Linked DNA regions of Tribolium castaneum. Each later gene encodes a partner of the first gene's protein in a complex. Links are inferred from orthologs where the notes say so. Each region holds a gene or a part of one and is shown in the gene's direction. Other genes may lie near its edges.

Region 1 (3,692 bases):
CCTTTCCTTCGACTTCCTATCCCTCTCCTTTGACTTGCGATCCTTATCCCGTTTCCTATCTTTCGACCTATCCCGAGTCTTAGATTTGGCCCTTGGCCTACTGCGACCCTTCGATTTCGACCTTGACCGGCGTTCGCGCGACCTTGAACGCCTCGTACGTGAAACCGAACGTTTCCGAGAGCGAGACTTCGAGCGTTTACGCCGGTCACGTGATCGTGAACGGCGTGAACGTGACGTTGAACGGCGACGACGTGAACGTGAACCACGCGAGAGTGACCTTGAGCGTGAGCGGCGTCTACGCCCTCTAGATCTTGAGCGGGAACGTCGCGAGCTCCTTTTATCTTTAGTTAGCATTCCGATAACTGGCTCAATCGAGGCATTGATCATGTTTTGAGCCTCTTTAAAGCGAGACATTGCTTCTTCAATTTCCTTCTGAGCGGCTTCGTTACTTTTGGCTTGGGGCTTCATGATTGGTTGAGTGGCGTGAATGATTTCCAGCGGCTTGCCTTTGAACTCTTCACCGTTCATTTTCATGGCGTTCACGACGCTTGGCTGTTCCGTGAATTCGATCAAAATGTGCGTGGTGTTGTCGTTGGGGCACTCACACACTCTCAAATACTTCACTTCACCGGCTTGTGAAAAATACTGGATTATCTCATCTGTGGGTATGGCGGGGTCAATATTGACCACTTGGACCGTTCGACGAGTCTCCTCGACTTTGATCGAGTCGTATTTGGCCGGCAAAGGGGGATAGGGGGCGCAGCCATTGTCAGTCAAATGGGGGTCATTTGTGACAACAACGCGTTCCTCGCCTGTGCCTTGGAACGAATTGGAGACATGTGGGGGCAACTTTGGCTCGTTTACGTTAAACCCGGGGACAATGGTCCCGTTACGGGTCATCTCCAGAGCGTAGTACTCGTCGGGGATGTCCCCGTTGATCACAGGGATGACAATTAGGGCCCGGTCGATGAAAACAGTGTTTGTCATGTGTTGGGCTACACCTACCGTGCTGGAATCCACGAATTTAACGTAACAAATCCGGGACTGGACAGGACAGGAGACGTCTCGAATCGTGGGGTACAGGCGAATGTCTTCGATTTTACCCAAGTAGCCGAACAGCGTCTGCATCTGGTCCTTGGTGGCCTGGGGGGCTATGTTGGTCACCTGGACCACCTTAGTGTTACCCACGACCATTTTCACGCACTATTTTAACATTTTCCAACGAGTTTAAAAAACGTAAAACGACGCACATTGACAAGTCAAATGACAGCAAGTGTCGCCAACTATTGTTCAATGATGAAAAACGCGGTGAAAAAGCAATTTATGGCCAATCGTCCTAATTAAAACTTTTTATGACTGTCCCAAAAGGATAATTTCAAATTATTTAAAATCTTTGGCGTTAAATAGCCTGTAAAACTTGCACTTTGGTTGTAATTTGGTGCCTTAATTGTGTGCCGGTTGGCAGGCGTAGTTGGTTTCTGTCAAGGGTGAGATGGGTGTTCGAGGGCTATTTTCGCTCGTGAATTGTTCAACTTCGCCTGATTTCGCTGACTTTTCATCTTGCAAGAGACATAAAAAGCCGAAACGTATTGTTTGATACATCTACAAATCGGTGTACTTGTGGAAGCTTCGAGAAAAGATAGTGTTTGGTTTGGTGACACTTTGACAGTGTCATCTGGCGGTTTCTGGTGCAGTTGCACGTTATTCAGCACACGTGAATTTCGAGGTTGAGGTCGTTTTGTGCTAATTTCGGCCGTATTTTCGCCAATATGGAATCGTGGGGTAAAAATTTAGTCAATTCTTTCACTACTTGAGCGAAAATTTGACATGGGGCTGTTTCAGACGACGATAACTTCGAACCTCCATCTGTTACACCTGTGGTTGCGTCCAACAAATGGGAAGGCGAGGACGAAGACGACAACGTCAAGGTAAAATGAGTGAATTCCTGCCAAAAATTTACCATTTTCCTGCAGGAAAGCTGGGAGGATGAGGAGGAGGAGAAGGTGGAAGCGGCGCCTGCCGAGGAGGCCAAACCCAAGCCCAAGAAGCAGTCAATCGCTGACAAAATCGCAGAGAAAGAAGTGGGTATCGCAATAGTTGTGACAAATCTAATTTCTCCTTATTCAGAGAAAGAGGAAGGAAGAAATGGAGCGGAGGCTGAGGGAGCAACAGGAGGAGGAAATCTCCCCGGAGGAGAAGCTCAGGATGCAGAAGGAATCGGACTTGAAAATAGCGCTAGAAACGACGTTTGGGGGCGACACCAATAGCACAAACATTTCAGGTTTAGACGGACTCACGCTGCCAACTACTAAAGAAGAGTTTCAGGACTTTACAGACGCTCTCTCTAAGAAGCTCCAACCTCTAGCTAAAAGCACAGAGTATCCGGTGTTCACCGAAAACTTACTACGAAATCTGTGTGCCACTTGTACGTCTCTCGTTTTAATTTAAAACAGCGTTAATGATGAATGTTCTTGCAGTGTCCTCATTAGATATTAAGAAAATTAAAAATACGTTAGATAATTTATACCTAGAGAAACAAAAAATCGAGAAAGGCGAGAAATCGAAGAAAAACAAAGGCAAAGGCAAGGCTAAATTACGACTGGATGATGGAAATGTAAGTTGTGGTTTTACAAGTGTTTGGGTTAATTTTTTTTGCAGCCTTTGTCAGCGTATGTTAACGACTATGACGATTACGACGACTTTATGTAGCAGATTGCAGCGGTTTAGATAGGGTTTTAATTTTTAAATAAATATCTTCGATAAATATAAATATTGTTAAATTATACGGTATTTTTAAAAAGGTGTAGTGTAATGATCATGCAATATGGTTAATAATTTTTACTTTTTTTTCACCGTTTTGTGTTTTTCTATACTAATGTAACGAGTCATTATTAATTAATGAGTTGCTGGTTTTTGTTGCTACTGATATAGAAGTTGTATTTTAAGGCGATTATTGTATGGATTTGCATACAAGTTGTATTCAATGGATTTGATGCAATTATTGTTAATATCAATATAATTTTTCAAAAAAATGATTGCGTTTTATTTAAAAAAGAATCAAGTGTCTTAGACACAGAGTTGCCACACGCACGCAATTTAAATCCCGTCTACGCCGTTCTGACGTGTAATTATTACACATTTATGCTGAAATTTATTATAGAACAAGTGGACCCCGCTTCTATAAACTTTTTGAGACCATAATCTATTTTAATGTTGAATATTTAAGTACCGTTGTTGGTATTCCTGTCCGAGTTTCATCACAATATTTGTTGTAAAAATGGCAAAATTGGTGCTTACCTCCACGATGACACTATGTAAACACTGATTCATTAGACTTTTCCCGATTTTAAACACTTTTTAAAACTAAACACAAACACCATGTTAACTTTTTTGTCATAAAAAGCAAGCGTCTTTAGACTCAGGGCTGCCACCATGCCACACACACTTGATTAGAATCCCGCCTTTGTAATTACTCGAAATTCCACTAAAATTAATTACACAACAAACAAAAACTGTCTTGGGACACATTTAACATGACTTTAGTCATTTAATACGGATTTAAAATATTTAGTGACAATCTTTTGGTGTTCTAGTTAGTGGCGTGGCAGCACTGTCGCTCCGAAAATTCAAACTTGAGACAAGTGTGACAAAATCCCAATTTGGGGCACAATGTACCAAACCCTGGTGGTGCC
Region 2 (4,308 bases), on another chromosome or scaffold:
TAAGTTTTCAACCTCTTTTGCACAAGATTTATACAAAATTTTGCCAACAGGAAGGCAAGACAAAGCTTAGTTTCATTTTTTTTCCACAAGTTTTAATCAAAATTTGAAATGCAAAGCATTTCGACACTAATGGGTACATTTTGTACAGTTGGTTGCAAATGCGTTCCAACACTCTTTTGATCATTTTCGTGAGCATAAAAATGTTTGTTTACCATTCGGCAAAATGTTCAAGTTTGTATGACGCTTTTTACGTTCGTTTTGTGTTTCGCAGTTCGCTCTTGGCATAGGCTCTTGGTCACTCACATGGCAACATGCGCTTTTGGTTCCTCACAGTAAAAACACGTGCCAAATGTTTGTAGAATACGTTTTCTACAACTATACAGCTAATACTAATGCGTTTTGCCTTAGAAATCTTCTGCACTGACAGCAGTGTGACAACACTTAACCTTAGAACTGTCAGAATTGTTTTACTTTATAGTGGCTCCCTCTCAGAAACAAAAATATGCCATGGAACTAAGCAATGCGGCCAGCCGTGTGAAGGGAAAGTTCCTTCATTAATCAAGGAAGCTGTGCTCACTGAAATAGGATTTACTGATGATGCGGATAGATGGCCTTAGTGTTTTACGGGAAAAAGAAATCCTATTGGCGGATTTAAAATTTCATATTACTGAAGAAAAACGTGGTACCGATGCGCGGCTGACAAGTAAAAATTTCACAAACGTCAGCAAAATTTGAGTTTATTTTTTATATCACGTTAATTTTTCAAAGTTTTATTAAGATAGTGGTTCAAGGTGTCGTGTTTGGGTTAGACTATTGCCTACTATCGGTTAGGAACAACATGATCTCCAAGAATATAACGTAGTAATGAGCTCCAGAAGGTTTTCATTGATAGGTGCGTTTTTTCCAAAAGTGAGTTTTTTGAGAGCGAACCGCAAGTGAGTCACACTGTGAGGAGATTCCCATAGACAGAAGTTGCTAACATAAGGTGCCAGTTTGGCTGATTGCAAGTATGTCTTTATCATCGATGCGGTGACGACTATTAGTTTTGTAAACTTAATGGATTTAATAAATATCTTTAATATTAAATGTGTTTAGATCGTGTCATGTTGGGTAAAATTCTTCTATTTGTGCTGTTTGTGCATCCACCTTTTCAAATACAATTAGAAAATTTTCATAATAATTGTATTTGATAAGGTTTTGACATCATTTTGACGTGAGCAAAAATTTAAAAAATACAAAGTAATCGGGATTATTTAATTCGCGCCATTTTTAGTACGTGATGATGCGGCTAGATGGCTCCAGCTAGGAATTCATTGCCAACCATTATGTTCCGCTTCTATAAAAGTGTTATTCTAGGGTGCCGCCATATGTGTCACATTTTATAAAATCTTGTTAGTTTTTGCATAAAAACGGTATAAAATGGCCCAATTTGATTTAACTTCCCGCATGGGGCAATATTTGGATCGGCACTTGGTGTTTCCATTGTTGGAATTTTTGTCGGCTAAAGAGGTACAGTTTTTGAGGTTATGTTCATTCGGTTGATTCCGAATTTCGTAGATTTACGATGAAACGGAATTGCTTAAAGCCAAATTAGATATTTTGAGCAAGACCAACATGATCGATTATGCTATTGACATCCGAAAGCAGCTGTATCCAAATGAAGAAGTTCCTGAAGATCTGAAGCAAAGGCGTCAACACGTTGTAGCTCAGTTACAGGAGCTTCAACAGGAAGTGCAACCAATTTTGAAGATTATGGCCGACGATGAGGTCATGAAGAATATGGAAAACATGAGGGATTCGAAAACTTTGATTAATTTCCTTTCAAAGGATTACAAAGTAAATACAATGTGTTCAAAAATGGTTGTTCACCCAGTCGACTATGGAAGTCAAAAACAATGTTCCGCTTCGTTCAAATCATTATTGTAGTGTTTGAATACTCTCATCTCTGTCAAATCTTAGCTTTTTACTCACTTTTTTGCATTTCTCAAGTGTGGGGTTTGCCGTCATTTGTGTTTTACATCTCGGTGAAATTTGTTGTGTACTCTTTCGTTTTTAGATTTGAAGTTTTTTTGCATTAATTTGACGGTTTTGTCGCTTTTGACGGCATTCACAATTTAAATTAAGTGGCACATTACGTTCAAATTTCATAAGTGACTTGCAATGAACAATCATTTCTGAATAGTGTGTTTGGACGAATACATTTTTGCAAAGAAAATGCACGTCAAGCTAATGAATGTTTATTTTAAAAAAAGAAGGATAAATTGAAGAAATACCTTTATTTGTAACTTATGACCTACTTAAACACTACTTTAAAACACTATATTTAACATGAAATTAAAACAAAGAAAAATAGGAATGATATTTGACAATTAATTGTTTGAACAAAAAAAAGATAGATTTTTTTGTAATTTCAATCTTTATTGGCTTCAATGACGACTCAACTTAGCGCTGGCATACTTTTAACGAATCCCTTACAAAATTCTGGCGTTTTATTGTTCCAAATATGTTCTATTTTATTTTTTAAATCTTTCAACAACTATTGAGGAAGATTTGTAGGATACCTTTTTACTTTGTGCCAAAAAGACTCAATGATATTTAAATCAGAGCTGTTTGCTAGCCACTCAATAAACTGACGTGGAAGTGTTATTGATGTTAACGAAAATATTTAATATAATGTTTTAATTTTTCTGATATGATATTAGTTAAGCAAATAATAATAATAGGTATTTATAAAATACAAAATATAAAAACTTGATTAATCGAAATTTAATTAATTCTGCAGTGTCTTTCTGGATCAACGGCGTATAATGCTATAAGCAAAAAATTCTTAAGAAAAATTTTTACGAACTTTTTGCACAAAACATTTAAGTATTTCAGGTGTTCTAAAATAACATAAGAAATAATAACTTTTGCAGCGTTTTAATATCATGTAATTTGATTGCGATTTTATGCAATTAATGAATTAGTAATTGTTAAAAAAAATAAAAAAACAATAAACTGCCAAGGAAGTTTTATTGATGTTACGAAAATATTTAATATTCAAAAAAATTATTTAATTCTACTAGTATTAGAAGTTGTTACCATTTAATTAATAAAATAAAAAAAAACTGTGGGTCGGTCTACAGACAGCGAAATTAAAATTTAATTCCGAATTAGACTAATTCGAGTTTAAGTTGTCATTTAAAATGCATTGGCAAATGTCAAGTTAATCACTAATAAAAATTTTATTGTAATTGAAATATTCTGTAAACTTCTTTGTTTAATTTAATTTCGCAGTTGGCAAGTAAGGTATAATCCTGCTTTTTCCGTAAATTTGTGCTAATGCGAGAAGGGTTAGCTGGTTTGATCTTCCGGTGATTTCCGGGGCAAATTGTTCAGTCAGTTACAGAATTTGTTATCACTTATAATGCAACAAAAATTAATGAAAACTTAAAAGCAATTAAAGAATGTTGGCATATTAATTAGTCACACAAAAATCAGTGTTTTCTATTAAATACTTAATTTTTTTCTCAAAGATTTTTTTTTATTTTTTTTTACATTTCCTTAAATAAACATGAATTACTAAAAATTATGTTAATAAAATTGAAAATATTATTCCGTGTAATTAATTAATTATTAATTTTATAATTTCAATAGTGTCTTTTAAATGAATGATATTTTAAGCAAAAAATTCTTAATAAAATTGTTGCTAACCTCAAAATTTCGATTTATTAAATTTTAATATTTTATACAATGTGTTTTTAAATGATTCTCATCCAGTTAACTTTGAAATTGGTTTACATGTAAAAAATTGTGCCGCTTTGCTCAATTGAATCCTCTGTTAATAAATGTAAAGTCTGTCAGTTGGCAAATTCATTTAATTTGTTTTAAAAACTTCGTTAAAATGTAACTAAATTATTATACCGTGCAAGAAAACACTTTTATTTTTTAAGCTTACTTTATATTTGGAGCCTTAATAAATGGAGAATGGTAATATTCGATGTCTAAATGCCTATCATTATTTATATGAAGCGGTATTTTCTGATTTTACTGTAGAAATTCACAGACGACTAGATGAGAATTATTTAAAAACACATTGTATTATTTATTAATATTTATTTTATTTTTTAATTAATTAAGGGCCAGTTTTATAATCGAATTTAAAGGAGCATTAAATTAAATGTTTAGAATGTGAAATGTCCACAAATCCATAGTAACCAGCACATTATAAACAACTTTTAGTTGAATGCTCCTTTAAATCCGATTATGAAATTGGCCCTTAAATTTTATTACAAAAATTAAATTATTTTTTGAACATTTTATTAAATA

The links.
Region 2: eIF3j (region 1) and eIF3e share a complex: the UniProt entries of both Drosophila melanogaster proteins name them as parts of the eukaryotic translation initiation factor 3 (eIF-3) complex. The link is inferred for Tribolium castaneum from reciprocal best matches to the Drosophila melanogaster genes eIF3j and eIF3e.

The regions. Positions count from the first base shown.
Region 1 is NC_087396.1:21,286,861-21,290,552, reverse strand, and holds eIF3j (eukaryotic translation initiation factor 3 subunit J), read left to right. Parts: upstream 1-1,454; 5' UTR 1,455-1,769; coding exon 1,770-1,782; intron 1,783-1,842; coding exon 1,843-1,928; intron 1,929-1,973; coding exon 1,974-2,081; intron 2,082-2,127; coding exon 2,128-2,425; intron 2,426-2,477; coding exon 2,478-2,614; intron 2,615-2,658; coding exon 2,659-2,709; 3' UTR 2,710-2,953; downstream 2,954-3,692. Other genes in the region: Srp54 (probable splicing factor, arginine/serine-rich 7), read right to left, coding at 1-1,194; transmembrane protein 50B, read left to right, coding at 3,670-3,692. UniProt on the Drosophila melanogaster protein: Component of the eukaryotic translation initiation factor 3 (eIF-3) complex, which is involved in protein synthesis of a specialized repertoire of mRNAs and, together with other initiation factors, stimulates binding of mRNA and methionyl-tRNAi to the 40S ribosome.
Region 2 is NC_087394.1:22,552,402-22,556,709, forward strand, and holds the start of eIF3e (eukaryotic translation initiation factor 3 subunit E), read left to right. Parts: upstream 1-1,331; 5' UTR 1,332-1,419; coding exon 1,420-1,509; intron 1,510-1,557; coding exon 1,558-1,836; intron 1,837-4,308. UniProt on the Drosophila melanogaster protein: Component of the eukaryotic translation initiation factor 3 (eIF-3) complex, which is involved in protein synthesis of a specialized repertoire of mRNAs and, together with other initiation factors, stimulates binding of mRNA and methionyl-tRNAi to the 40S ribosome.